2 linked regions of the Schizosaccharomyces pombe genome follow. Changing the gene in region 2 together with the main gene of any one other region gives a genetic interaction. Each region holds a gene or a part of one and is shown on either strand. Other genes may lie near its edges.

Evidence for each region. A genetic interaction does not mean that the proteins touch.
Region 1: mutations in pxl1 (region 2) and cdc15 are lethal when combined (synthetic lethality), as found in Schizosaccharomyces pombe (4 studies listed by BioGRID, with this or other methods).

Annotation. Positions count from the first base shown.
Region 1 is NC_003424.3:1,396,929-1,404,690, reverse strand, and holds cdc15 (F-BAR domain protein Cdc15), read left to right. Parts: upstream 1-1,754; 5' UTR 1,755-1,804; coding exon 1,805-1,885; intron 1,886-1,943; coding exon 1,944-2,035; intron 2,036-2,211; exon of another isoform or gene 2,212-2,226; coding exon 2,227-4,664; exon of another isoform or gene 4,665-4,675; intron 4,676-4,720; coding exon 4,721-4,893; 3' UTR 4,894-5,491; downstream 5,492-7,762. Other genes in the region: CCR4-Not complex subunit Not1, read right to left, coding at 1-1,369; cir2 (electron transfer flavoprotein-ubiquinone oxidoreductase), read left to right, coding at 6,768-7,762. UniProt on the Schizosaccharomyces pombe protein: After the onset of mitosis, forms a ring-like structure which colocalizes with the medial actin ring. Appears to mediate cytoskeletal rearrangements required for cytokinesis. Essential for viability.
Region 2 is NC_003423.3:2,708,363-2,716,048, reverse strand, and holds pxl1 (paxillin-like protein Pxl1), read right to left. Parts: upstream 3,882-7,686; 5' UTR 3,538-3,881; coding exon 3,509-3,537; intron 3,453-3,508; coding exon 2,165-3,452; 3' UTR 1,842-2,164; downstream 1-1,841. Other genes in the region: erb1 (WD repeat/BOP1NT protein), read left to right, coding at 1-1,625; asn2 (asparagine synthase), read left to right, coding at 4,555-6,201.

The sequences.
Region 1 (7,762 bases), on a different chromosome or scaffold from region 2:
GCAGCGTACCCAAAAGCAAAAGCTCGGCAGAAACTTTCTCATCCAAAAAATTCAAGAACAGTGAAGTTTCGTAGGTGACTACCTCAGATAACAGGCGTAAAAGGATTTGGACAAGTTCAATGCAATTTAAATTACTTTTTTCATATATTTTCGCATAATTAACAAGCTCTTCGCTATAATCCTTTAAGCTATCAACAGAAACTACAGGATTGACATTGAACTCTCTTATATCAAACATCGATGTTGGGGATAGGATAATATGAGAAATGATGGAAAGTTGCGGTAAAGGATTTCTCCAAAGAACCCAGAGAAAGTCCAACGTAAAATTAGTTTGCCTTAACTTGTAAGCATTTGTAAAGATTGTGAAGAACAGTACAAGACTAGGTGTACCCGTTATCATAAATTTAGGATTATCGAACATAGAAAGCATAGCTTCCCAATTTAGGTTTTCAAAAGAGGAAACGATAGCTTTACCCATCAAAACAGTGTCCCAAGCACCATAATCATGTATAGCTACAAGTGAATTTATAAGATAAGCAACATCAGTCTCAGTAGCCGTTCCCGGGGGATATTTTTTAAGAATTGCTTCTTTCATAGACTTAAGTGTAGCTTTGGAAGCTTTCATCGGACCAAACAAAGCTGTAAGAGGGCGTGAATTCGCCAACTTTTTCTCAATTATAGCATCAAACTTTGGAACTTTAATCAAGGGTATTCTGTCATAGTCGGTGGTAAACAAACCTTCCCTGAGCAAATCCAAATCGTTTTTATCAATACTTTGTTGCTGAGTAGGATCGGATAGTTGGTTTAAAAGAGATTGGAATGTGTTTTTAAGCAAAGCAGAAGCTTTCTTTGCTAAAGTAGGTTTAACAGAAGTGGTAAGTCCAATTAAAAGGTTAGTCCTTTCTAACGGGGAGAATTGGAAATGGTCTAAAAATGCCTCTATATCGAAATCTTCAAATACTTCAGAATCAGAACCTGAAATAGCATCACTAAAACGTTTCGCCATGACCCAAGACTTCGTGAGAGATTTTAATTCATCTAGTAGTAATTTATAAGTAGCTAGTCCATCAGAAGATTTACCGGTACCAAAAATACGGTATGAATTTCCTTGAATTAGACGGCGAAGAAAATGGTGGTATACTCTGGGTGCATTTTTGTTGATAAGTTGACGAATCTGTTCAAGTTTCGTATCATATTGGTCTTCCCGTAAGGTCGACAATAAGAAAAGGATTTGTGCTTTAACAATACTTTCAATTTTTGAATCGTTTGGTGGAGGGGTCTTAGAATCTAGTGATATAGGATGCCCAGATTCAGAAGTTGAACTAGATTTCTCTCGTGTCTCCGGCGTTTGTTGTTCTTGGCTCTTCATATTTTTAACGCTTTTCTATTACCATGCCTTTGTGAGGCTATTATTATACTCCTATGCTATTTTCAGCTGATATATTCTTTGAATATTTACAGATGAGATGCAGCAGTATCTGCTAGCAAGTTTGAATGAAAATAGGTGCAGTGGTGTTTTGCAAAAGATATGTCGGTCCTCCTCACTGCCAGGCAGTCTAAGAAAGGATCGAACATTAAATTTAACGAGACTGTATCTTTCGTAAACTTTTTTAACAAAATTTAAGGATAGAGTTAATTTGCAGTTGCTTATTGTGCACTCAGATAGGCAACGGTTGCTAGGGACGGTTGTCACCGCAGTAGTCGCAGTAAACAAACATGTTTACTCTTTTCCTGAAATCGACTACCAGGAATTTACCAACAACAAATCACAAATTTTGCTGCATTTTGTTCTTTCAATAACAAAATGGAGGTTAATGGAGTCTCTCAATCTGAAGCGGCTCCGTACGTTACCAAATCTTCTGTTAAGTTCCGCGATAATTTCTGGGTATGTGTAAATTTGCTGTATTTAGTAAAGCAAAGTTATGTTAACAAAATCGTTGCAGGGATCTGAAGATGCGGGTATGGATGCTCTTATGTCCCGAACAAAATCTTCTCTTTCCGTATTAGAATCAATTGATGAATTTTACGCAAAGCGGTAAGTATGGTTGCCTCGTTTGGAAGTTGCAGCTCTACCTTAAGCGCTACGATGATTCAAGAAATATGTTTTTGGTCGTTTCATTGTCATTTAAGATGTTTTACAGATAATCGTGGATTCTTAAGATAGCTTGTGTAATGAACCGAAGGGTTCGGTATGATTATTGATTAAAGTCTGACTAACTAAATTAGTGCTTCTATTGAGCGTGAGTACGCATCTAAACTGCAAGAGTTAGCTGCCAGCTCAGCAGACATCCCAGAAGTTGGATCAACTTTAAATAATATTTTATCTATGAGAACTGAAACAGGGAGTATGGCCAAAGCGCATGAAGAAGTCTCACAACAGATAAATACCGAATTGCGAAATAAAATTCGCGAGTACATTGATCAGACGGAGCAACAGAAAGTTGTTGCAGCCAATGCCATTGAGGAATTATATCAGAAAAAAACGGCTCTCGAAATAGACTTATCCGAGAAGAAGGATGCCTACGAGTACAGTTGTAACAAGCTGAATAGCTACATGAGACAGACAAAAAAGATGACTGGTCGTGAATTAGACAAATACAATTTAAAAATCCGTCAAGCAGCGCTAGCAGTAAAAAAAATGGATGCGGAATACAGAGAAACAAACGAATTACTTCTTACAGTTACTCGGGAATGGATTGATCGTTGGACAGAGGTCTGTGATGCTTTTCAACATATTGAGGAATATCGTTTAGAGTTTCTCAAAACAAACATGTGGGCCTATGCAAATATAATATCTACTGCTTGTGTAAAAGATGATGAATCTTGTGAAAAGATTCGACTCACACTCGAAAACACTAACATTGATGAAGATATTACTCAAATGATTCAAAACGAAGGTACCGGAACTACAATTCCCCCTTTACCCGAGTTTAATGACTATTTCAAAGAAAACGGATTAAATTATGACATCGACCAGCTCATTTCTAAAGCTCCTTCTTATCCATACTCCTCTTCGCGTCCCTCAGCTTCTGCATCTTTGGCAAGTTCGCCAACACGTAGCGCTTTTCGCCCCAAAACTAGTGAAACAGTTTCATCGGAAGTTGTATCATCACCACCTACTTCACCATTGCATTCACCAGTTAAGCCAGTGTCTAATGAACAAGTTGAACAAGTTACAGAGGTTGAACTTTCTATTCCCGTTCCTTCTATACAAGAAGCTGAATCCCAGAAACCAGTACTTACAGGGAGCTCAATGCGTCGACCTTCTGTAACATCACCAACTTTTGAAGTAGCTGCTCGTCCTTTGACTTCAATGGATGTTAGATCCTCTCATAATGCCGAGACTGAGGTACAGGCTATACCCGCTGCAACAGATATATCACCCGAAGTTAAGGAAGGTAAAAATAGTGAGAATGCTATCACGAAAGATAATGATGATATTATTTTGAGTAGTCAACTTCAACCTACTGCTACCGGAAGTCGGTCATCTAGGTTGTCTTTCTCTCGACATGGACACGGGTCTCAAACTAGTTTGGGATCTATCAAACGAAAATCAATAATGGAGCGTATGGGGAGACCCACTTCTCCCTTCATGGGTTCTAGTTTCTCTAATATGGGTAGCCGAAGTACCTCACCTACTAAAGAAGGATTTGCTAGCAATCAACATGCCACAGGCGCGTCTGTCCAGTCTGATGAGTTAGAAGATATTGACCCCAGAGCTAACGTTGTTTTAAACGTTGGACCCAACATGCTTTCTGTTGGAGAGGCACCAGTGGAATCCACATCCAAAGAAGAAGACAAAGATGTACCCGATCCCATCGCTAATGCAATGGCTGAATTAAGTTCGTCAATGAGAAGACGCCAATCGACATCAGTTGACGATGAAGCGCCTGTTTCTCTTAGTAAGACGTCTTCTTCTACAAGATTAAATGGCTTGGGCTATCACTCTCGAAATACTTCTATAGCTAGTGATATAGATGGCGTTCCCAAAAAGAGTACCTTAGGAGCTCCTCCAGCCGCACACACTTCTGCTCAAATGCAACGCATGAGTAATAGTTTTGCTTCCCAAACAAAGCAGGTGTTCGGAGAGCAACGAACCGAAAATTCAGCTAGAGAATCCCTTCGTCATAGTCGAAGCAATATGAGTAGATCTCCTTCTCCAATGTTATCGAGAAGAAGCTCCACCTTGCGCCCAAGCTTTGAGAGGTCTGCATCTTCTCTTAGTGTACGCCAATCTGATGTCGTTTCGCCAGCACCTTCTACAAGGGCTCGTGGGCAATCAGTGTCTGGTCAACAAAGGCCATCTTCATCTATGTCGTTGTATGGTGAGTACAACAAATCTCAACCTCAGTTGTCTATGCAACGTTCTGTTTCTCCCAATCCGTTAGGCCCTAATCGTAGATCGTCATCAGTCTTACAGTCACAGAAATCTACTTCATCTAACACATCAAACCGAAACAATGGTGGTTATAGTGGATCGAGACCAAGTTCAGAAATGGGTCACAGATATGGGTCTATGAGTGGAAGGTCCATGAGGCAAGTTTCCCAAAGATCCACCAGTCGCGCACGGTCACCAGAGCCGACTAATAGAAATAGCGTTCAATCAAAGAATGTCGATCCACGAGCTACTTTTACGGCTGAAGGAGAGCCAATTTTAGGATATGGTAAGTTCATTAAAGAGAAACTTTAAAAATTTTTAATTTTACTAATTATAATTCAGTTATCGCACTTTATGATTATCAAGCTCAAATACCTGAAGAAATTAGCTTCCAAAAGGGCGATACATTAATGGTTCTTCGCACACAAGAAGATGGATGGTGGGATGGTGAAATTATTAATGTTCCAAATTCAAAACGTGGTTTATTCCCGTCGAACTTTGTTCAGACGGTATAGACACTGATTACCCTCTTTTCTAGATGTTTACACTTGCATTCTTTTTCGCGTGGTTACTATCTCTTACTAATCCGTAATTCCTTATTTTTTTTTTGATGACTTAACGCGAAACGACATGCTTTTTTTTTTTAAATTCATTTCTCGTCATGGTCTAAGCTTCGTTGCATTGCATAGGTATTTATACGCATTTATTTTGATATCTAAAGATTTCTGTTTTAAAGGAAATACACATAGAATCTAGTTGATTGGAATATATTTTATTTTATTTTATTAACAATGTTTGACTCCTTTGTCCTTTGGCTATTGTAAGACGTAAGAATAACACTAATTGTTTTTGAAGATTTCGTGCATTTCAAAGTTTCATATGATTTTTACATCAATTTCAAAACCGATTTTAGTAAATTAAAATCAAGGTACGATTTGGTATGTAGCTTTGACAAGATATAGCTAAATTGCTAATTTTTATCAGTAACTAGAGGATAAAGTTGAATAAACCAAAAATATAACACGATGATGAATTTGCCTGCTCAAAAATATGATATCCGCAGATGTAGGATTCTGAGCTTTACTTTTTAAAAAGAAGCCGACCGATAATTACCAGAAAATGCATTTGTGGATAAGGTATGTTTGAAGAGTGCAAACCCAGATTTTTTGTTTGGCTATAGATACAGTGTGCATCAACTAGCTTGTAAACATGAGTGTTAGGAGATATGAATAGATGCTTATAAAATGATCTGATTGAAAAGAAGTCTCGCTAGCCTGAACAGATAAGATTATTGATTGAGGTATAAAAAGACATAAGACCCTGATTTTGCAAAAACACATGCGTGCCTTTATATTTACATACCTACTTAGTGAAAAAGCTACAGATTTTGTTATTTGCTTTAACGATACAATGAACTGCGGTGAGTTTCGCTTATGAGCTGTTTATTCTATGATACTTTTGAATAATAGAGGTAACAGTTGCTATATATATTGTTATATGTAGGTACTGTTGTAATTTGTCGCTGAGAAAGAACTGAAGAACGAGGATCTATTTATCGTGTATTATTCTTAATAGCTTATATTTTATTGTATTGTTAGCAAGATCTATCTCATGTTCGTATTATCATGACACGATGTGCAAATTGAATGAATGAATGAATAATGATATGTAGCGTAATGCAGTATTACTGACACATACACTGATTTTACACAGTATCTCTAAAGCCGTCAAAAACAGAGAAATTAATTATCGTTAAATTATTTAACGCCATAAATAGAACTACTGCCAAATTCACCAGAATATCATAAATGTAATAACGAAATTTTTCACCAGAACCTTCAATTTTATTGATAGCGGCCGTGATAATTGGTTTTCCCGCACATTTTAGATTACTTAGATCCGATTCATTGGCTGTATCCGTAGCCTTCGGTTTAATTCAGGAAATGCAATTGGTGCGCTGTTAAAGGTAAGGAGCGGCTTCCTCGGTTAAATGACGAATGTCCTGCGTTCCTTTATTTATTTTATTTACATCTTCTTTTCCTTTTCCTTCTTTACTACACATGTCAAATTAATAGCCACTAGCTTGACCGATTAGAGAGAATCCAACTTTTTTCTTTCTCTTTCATTCCTGTTGTTTTGTATCTGTCTACACTTGTTCGTTTTAGCGGTGCGGGATTTCCAAGTGTATTAACGGGTGTCTGTTTGTGAATAGTTTTTTTTTTTGTCTCGTCTTAAGGCTCCTTCGTTTCTAGTTTTGTAATATCTTTTTTTGTATTATTTGATAATTGTTTTCATTTGTTGAGAAAGTACTTGATATTAGCTTCTTGTTCTGTTCGTATTAGTGATTACTTTTAAATTTTTTCAGCAATTGTGCTAAAGTGCCTAATTAATGTCTTATTTATCGAGATCTGCACTCGCTCGGTCAGTCGGGGCTAAACACCTTACTGGGGTATTGAGAAAAATCGGGAGAAGGGGAGGAAGATCGATGCACGTTCTCCCTCTCGCTTCTCCTAGTACTCTTTTAAAAATCTCTTCTCAAACTTTACGTCAAGATTTCACCGTTCTGGGCGCTCGTAATTTTCATTCAAGTTCCGTTCGACTTAATGAATTGACGGATAATTTGCGTAAACTAGATACTATTGAGCGAGAGGTCGAGGATGTGGATGTGTGTATTGTTGGTGCTGGCCCTGCGGGACTTAGTGCTGCCATTCGTATCAAGCAACAAGCTGCCAAAGCCAACAGAGACATTCGTGTCGTGGTACTTGAAAAGGCTGCTGAGCCCGGTAACCACAGCGTATCTGGGGCTGTAATTCAACCTACTGCCTTAGATGAACTACTTCCTAATTGGCGTGATGACCCACCTGAAAACTGTACTGCTGTTACTCACGATAAAATGAAGTTCCTGATCCCAAAATTGCATTTCCCTATTCCTGTCCCTCCAGCCATGAAGAACCACGGAAATTATGTTATGAGTTTAGCAGAATTTACCAGATGGCTAGCTGCAAAGGCCGAAGAATATGGAGTTGAAATATATCCTTCTTTTGCTGCTTCAGAGGTCCTCTACAACAAAGATGGTTCTGTTATTGGCGTTGCCACTAATGATTTTGGTGTCGATAGTAAGGGTTTGCCCAAAGATAATTTCGAACGCGGCATGGCTTTTCACGCACCTGTCACCTTATTTGCTGAAGGTGCTCACGGTTCCCTATCAAAATCTATTATTAAGCGTTTTAATCTTCGAGGAAATTGTGAACCTCAAACCTATGGTTTGGGTGTAAAGGAGGTTTGGCGTGTACCTGACGAGAACTTTCGCAAAGGTGAGGTAGCCCATACATTAGGATGGCCAATGAGGAATGATACATATGGTGGTGGTTTTATGTATCAATT
Region 2 (7,686 bases):
CTGATTATGATGATTTTTTTACAAACACCGTACGGGAAACTCCTCTTTCAAGCGCTCCTGAGCCCAAACGTCGATTTGCTCCCTCTAAGCATGAACAAAAGCGTATTTTACAGCTTGCTTATGCTATCCGTAAAGGAAGAATTCTCACTTCTGAACAGCGTGCTGAACGTGAACGCGAAAGTCAAAGCAATTATGCAGATCATGATCTTTGGGCGGATGATGATCAAGCAACTGTTAACCAGAGAAAGTTGGACTATGCACCTGCACCTAAGCTTCCTCCTCCATCACACGAGGAAAGCTATAACCCTCCTGAAGAATACTTAAAACAGTCTTCGGACTTTCCTAAGAAATATAAATCCTTACGTGTTGTTCCTGCTTACTCAAACCTTATAAAGGAGAAGTTTGAACGTTGCTTGGATCTTTATTTAGCTCCCCGTGTTAGACGTACCAAACTTAATATTGATCCAGAATCGTTACTTCCTAAACTTCCTACCCCCTCTGAGCTTCGTCCATTTCCGACACGCTGCACCAATGTTTTCATCGGTCATAAAGGTCGTGTTCGTTGTCTTTCGGTCCATGTTAGCGGAAATTGGCTTGCAAGTGGAGGTGATGATGGAGTTTTACGTATTTGGGAAGTAATGACTGGTCGTTGTGTTTGGAAATGCAGCTTGGACAGTTTTGGTAATGCACATAATATTGATAGCGATGAGGATGCGGTTAATGAATCTTTAAGTCACTCTACAAAGAGCTCTATAATTCAATCACTTGCTTGGGGACCTCTTTCAGATAGTCCAGTGCTTGCTGTTGCTGTTGATGAAACAGTCTATTTCATCACACCCCCGATCTTTTCTGACGAGCAGATTGAAGCTTCTAAAGAATTGTTTACTTCTGCTCCTTACCAAGAATCTAGTGCAATATGGAGAAGAGGAGCCAAACAATCTTTACAATTACATGGTGGTATAGTCCATGCTACTGTTTCTACTCCCAGTAGCATTAAGTCCTTGTCTTGGCATCGTCGCGGTGATTACCTAGCTACTTCTTCTCCTACTTCTTCTAGCCAGGCGGTTCTTATTCATCAGTTGTCAAGAGGTGCAAGTCAATCGCCATTTTCTAAGTCTAAAGGTTCTGTGCAAGCTGTTACGTTTCACCCTACTATGCCTTATCTTCTGGTTGCTACTCAACGATATGTCCGCATATACAATCTTGTTAAGCAAGAGCTTGTAAAGACCTTGTTAACTGGTGTCAAATGGGTTTCGAGTTTAAGTGTCCATTCGAGTGGGGACCATGTCATAATAGGTTCCTATGATAAAAGGCTATGTTGGTTCGACTTAGACTTTTCTTCTAAACCATATAAAAATCTTCGATATCATTCACGTGCTCTTCGCGATGTCTCATATCATCCTTCCCTTCCACTATTTTGCTCTGGCTCTGATGATGGTGATGTTCAAGTGTTCCACGGTCGTGTTTACAGTGACCTTCTGGCTAATCCCTTGATTGTTCCTCTTAAGATTTTGCGGAATCATAAAGTGGTTGATAATGTCGGTGTTTTATCCACATGCTGGCATCCAAAAGAAGCCTGGTTATTCAGTGCAGGTGCTGGTGGAGAAATTCGGATGTGGACTTGAAAAAGGTTTGAAACGTCTTAAATATTTTTGTTTTCTTCACTTGCTTTAAAATTTAGAAAAACTCTACTTTTAAAAATAATGTTTGGTAGTGTTTACTGCAAAAGATACTTTTTCAATGCTGTATTATAGTTTTGCTAACAAGTCGAAAAGATTGTTTTCGTACTTGATTTTGGATATTTAATAGGAATATAGGGGTTTTCGAAAGTTTAAAATGCATTTGTGCAAACTGAATATGTTTTTATTTTTTATTTTTTGGTAAGTTATCTAAAGTATTTAAGTATTACGTGATATCAAAAATCGTAACCGTTGAAATTCAATAGTGCTTTTTATATATCTATAGTTACCTAATCATTAATTGCTTAATTATAAAAATACAGCAAGTTTAAATGCAAGTAAACATGCTGGACTTTGTGGATTAAATGAAATGATTTAAAATCTCCAAGATTTCCAAGACAGCTTTCCTTATAAAGCTAAAATCGATGAAAGAAGTGAAAAAATAACAAAAAAAAAAGAAAAAGAAAGTGATGAGTAAGTCTGAGTTAATCCAAATTAAACTTGACTGATATCGCCTTGCAAGGACGGCAAATAGGGGTATTTTCTATCATAAAATAACCCTCATCTCCAAGTAGGGCATTACAAGCTCCGCAGGTCCAACATTGGCTATGATATTCACCATCAGACCCTTTTACACTGATCCCCAAAATGGGTTTACGGCATTTCTTGCACTTAACAGCATACTTATTATCATAACAAGTCTGACACCAGTATAGGTCGTCACGGTAAATACAGGGTATATTTACATTAAAAACTTCAGAGCAACCAGCGCAAAAATGATGATTTTCATGAAACCAATCATTGTTGATATGGACCGCTTGGTCTTCAATTGGGGTTTTGCAGTGCTTACAGCGAGGACTGAACTGTTCATGATAGTCTAGATGACAATAAAATTTTCCCTCGCGGTAATAAAATCCAACGTGCTCTAAGTTCTGGGAACAAGTATCGCATTTGAAGCATTGAGGGTGTAATTTCTTTCCTGAAGCACTAATTATTCTGCCAGCGCGTAAAGAACCGCCGCAACTATGACAGGATTTTTCAGAATTGCCTCTATAAAGAACTGGTTTTGTAGATGTATGAGAAGATACCATTGAAGGCTTAAGTGAATCTGATTGAAATAAATTATTTGAGGACAAGTTGCTAGGCAATTGTGAAGTGGGGGTGGGCAAAGGATATAAGCTATTAGCAGGAGCAGAATGAAAAGAATGCAAAGCGGGTCTACGATTGGAAAGTTTACTGGATTTCTGTAAAGGAAGAGTAGGAAGTTGTTTGGATGCGAAGGTTTTTTGTCTGTCTTCAATGCAATCATGATCAACAAGCGGCTGTAAACCGGTATGACAATCGTAAACATTTCGTACGTCTGGATAATTAACATGTGAATTCAATTCCTCCGGCGAACTAGGAAACTCATCGTCGTCACTGTATGCAAGAGATGGCAATTCAGGTAAAAGCTCCTTTTTTAAGCTATCGAAAGTAGAAGTAGAAGCAGAGGTTAGTAGTGTTTTTTCCGGCGACGAAACATTAGAACGAGAGAGCTCGTCATCAGGCAGATCAAAACGTACACGATTTTGTTTTATTGTTGGATTCCTCTTGGACAAAGGAGATTCAGGAGTCTTCAAACTTGGTTGCGGTAATGGTGTAGCTATTCGACCTCCAGTAAAGTTAAGTGCTCCATCAGATAACCGAGAACGAACTAAATTGTTTAGCGGGGAGCCATTAGTAGAGACCGGCGAAGAAGGAGCAGCACGAGGACCAGTCAATCGACGTTCAAATCTACAAAAACGAAGTTAGATACCTAATTGGGTAATAACAATAAGACAATAGATTACCTTGGTAATTCTGGAATTGGTGAATGCATTTGCTGATATGCTTCTCAACTATCAGGACACTAATCAACGGAAAGAATTCAGGATCGTTGACAACCTTAAGAAATCAGGATAGCCAAGCTCGCAGGGTATAAATCTAGCCGCAACACTTAAAAACAAGATAAAAAATAGGAAGAGAAGGATAAGGAAGGAAAAACAAAAATCAAGCTGGGATTAACTTATAGAAAATTGTTGCCAACGTAAGGATATATATCTCAAAGAGCGGAGTCCCCCAAAAAAACTAGCTGTATTAAAAAAATGCAATTGTAAGCAAGTAGTTATTATTTAGAAAGCAGTAATATTTGCTTTATCCAAAGTGTTTTAGCTAATAAGTGTTGGCTTTGTTTAAGTGTATATTCCAAAATATAAACAAACATTCGTTGTTATAGAAACCAGCCTCATAATAGGTAACATTGTACCTTTAACGAATACTTAGAGAGTACGTATTCAATGTTTGTATACCAGCAGAAAGTAAAAAAATGCGAATATATTAGTAATTAAAGTGAATTAAGCCATTCCTATGCAGAAAATGTTCCAAACGAAATCAATGTTATTTGTTGGACAATTTTATATGTTGCGATTTCATAATATGGTACAATATCTTTTTATAATTTATTTTTTTTATACTTTGGCAGTAGATTATTGTGGAGCGCGTTATTAATGCTTACTGTATTGTTACAGCTCTTTAAATGTCATTAACTACCCCATTATGCTTTGTCAGGCATACAGCATTTCGCTTATTGTTTCATAAATAGAAACCTAATTTTGGCTTTCAAGCTACAGATTGACCTAAGAAAATTCTTTACCAGTTGTAAGTATAATTGTATAAGAAAAAATATGTAGACCCGTGAGTCTGTTCAGTGTGTAGTTACTTATAAGCGTTGCAATGTGTCGCAAAATGATATTGTATATAAAATTACGATCACACTGTACCACACAAACGTCGTTAAAGGAAAAAACACTTTTTTGACTGTAGATTTGTTAGAAGCAAAAGTGTTTGAGAATAGTTTATGTGCGGAATTCTTTTCGCCTTAGCGGAAGACAGAGATAATCTTCTTGAAAGTCCATCTTTTTCAGCTTTACGAAAAAGGATTCGGGCTAGAGGACCTGATTTTTTTGGTAAGCATAAATTGAATAGCGGACCTTGGAATTTGCACTTTGAGTCAAGCGTTTTGCATTTACGTGGCCCTTCTGATCATTTAACGCCTCAACCTCATGTTGACAGTTTTGGAAACGTTTTGTGTTGGAATGGAGAAATTTGGCAAATAAACCATAGCGATCATCACAAATTTACGCTCAATCGTAATGAAAACGACGGTGCAAAACTTTTTGAACTTTTAAACAATAACCCGGGCGACATTGAAAAAATTTTGGGAAGTATTCAAGGACCTTTTGCTTTTGTTTACTACCAAGTTCGTACAAACACATTGTGGTGGGGAAGAGATCGCTTAGGAAGAAGATCCCTTTTGTATAGTTTACGAGATAGTAATTTCGTTCTCTCAAGTGTAGGAAATTCTAGTGATTTCCGAGAAGTTGAGCCTGGGTTTCATAGTGTGCAGGTGGACTTGATCCCAAAAATTAACTTCTCTAAATCATTAATGCAACTGGAAAAAACAAACCCTCTTCCTCCTGTGGATGAGTCCTTTCTCATGGGCTCAATCTCTTCAGACACTGTGGACACATTGCATACATATCTTATCAAAGCGCTTCAAGATAGAGTTTTAACAATCCCCAAACTGTGCTCTTCAAACCTTGACTGTAGTCATTATAGCCGAGTTTGCGTTCTTTACTCTGGGGGAGTGGATTGCGGTGTATTAGCACGGCTAATGCACGACATAGTTCCCAATAACGAGTCCATCGATTTAATTAATGTGGCTTTTGAAAACCCAAGATTTACAGAGACATACCGTGACAGAGAGACGGGACTTCTTCCTGACAATTTTGATGCATACGACGTATGTCCTGATAGACAAACTGGATTACAAGGCTGGCAGGAGCTTATTTCAGTTTGCCCTGCTCGAAAATGGAATTTTGTTGCTATAAACGTTCCTTATACAGAAGTATGTGAAGCACAGGAAATAGTCAAAACACTTATCTATCCGAACGATTCAGTTATGGATCTTTCTATTGGATTAGCTTTTTATTTTGCTTCACAAGGGCGTGGTGTACTTTTACAAAACGTGGATGATATCAAACTGAAACATCAATTACCTTCCTATACTATAAAAGCTAAAGTCCTCATCAGTGGCCTGGGGGCTGATGAGCAGCTCGGTGGTTATATGCGGCACCTACGAGCGTTTGAACGGAAAGGTATGGCCGGTCTTGAAGAAGAACTGCAATTGGACATTGATCGTATTCCACATCGTAACTTGGGCAGAGATGACAGGGTAATGTCTAATCAAGGGAAAGAGGTGCGTTATCCTTTTCTCGATGAGCGTCTGATGGCTTTGTTTAGCAAAATGAAAACTACTGATAAAATGCGTCTAGATTTAGTTGGAGGTGACAAACTAATTTTACGTGAATTAGGACGTCGATTAGGTTGTCCCTTAGCTAGTCAAGAAAAAAAGAGGGCTATTCAGTTTGGTTCTAAAGCAGCAAAGATGACTCCTGGAACCGGTAGAACATCAGGTCGTAAAAAGTTAGAAGTTTGTATTTAAAAATAATAATAATAATAATAAATTATACTTGAGTATTTCATAAAACTACAAATGTTAACTCATCTCCAAAAGGGAATCAATAGATGAACTAAGCCTTCCTTGTTGCGCATTTAACACAACTTCAATCACTTCACTGTCAAACGCTGGAAACATAGCTCTTAAAGCCGTAATTGCTTCAGCCTTTTCCCGAGCTTGTAGCCTTTCAGCTTCAGCTGTCTCAAGAGACGCTGTTGTTGCCTCTCGCAGGTCATCATTTTGTTGTAATCCATCATCCACTGGCTGCTCTTCATGAACGATGGGAGAATGGGTAGCAGACGAGGAATATGCACGAGATACTCGATAGGGAGGTCGATCGCTAGAACCAACATACTTGTTTGAGTTTCTGCGTGATCTTTTTCCAGAATCAGTTGTGAAAGAGCCACTATGAGAAGAGCTCTCGGCCTTGTGCTACGAGGATATTCTTTGCTTTCAGGAGTGTCTATTTGCAAGTATTTCATATTTTCAAGCTCTTCTGGTAAATTTACCAATGCAACACCAGTCGATACATCTATGGATGATGAAAGTCCTCGAGAAAGAACCGGATCCTTGTAGGTTGCATTCTCGTTTACGGCCGTTTTTGATTCAGACTTTTCGCTCAACTTTCTCTCTTCCATCTTCTTGATCGACTTCTCTATTTGTGCATTAAACTCTTCTTCCGTTATAGTTAGAGAACTACAATCCAGTGTTTCGATGAAGGACATAGCTCCCATTAGAGTAGATAAATAGTACATAACTTCTCCCGTGAGTTTTTCGGGAGAACGAAACCTTTGTATGTATTGAATATTAGATACTAAGTGGGCCGGCCTTGCTTGAAGGACTACAAAAATCAAAATGGGAACAAACATATCCGCTGACTCCTCTTTAACAACGTTTCTTAGGTAGCTAAAAATAACCTTGCAACAGTTCAAAAGACAGATAATCTTGTCCCGGGGAGCGTGGTAATCATTTATTCTTCTTAATTCATCAGCAGCAAGCTTAAAGAATTTTGAGCTAGATTTTTGCTTTTTTATATCTAAGTTCTCCTCTGTAATCCATTGAAATAGTTCCATTTTCTCAGACAAAACTCGGTCTTCCTCAACATCATCCGAATGTTCACTGCTCAAAGGTATGCCAGACTTTGCAATTTCAGGAGAAAATAAACTTGTGTATAATCTGTTTAAAACTAACTTCTCCATCCCCTCTTTAGCATTATCAATTTCAGCCTGGGAACCAGAAGCCCATGGTTCATATTGTTCGATTTTTTCATTTATAAACTTTAAAAAGTCACGAATCAATTTGACCTGGTAATTAACAGTCCATCGTCTTTTCGTGAATTCTGAAAGAAAACTTTTCAAGTACTTGGCAACTGGTTCCGCAGAACTGGAACGCAATTGTTCTAAAAACATATGAAAATCAAAAATAGGTTCATTAATTTCTTGCTGCCCGGGATTATTTTCATGAGGTATG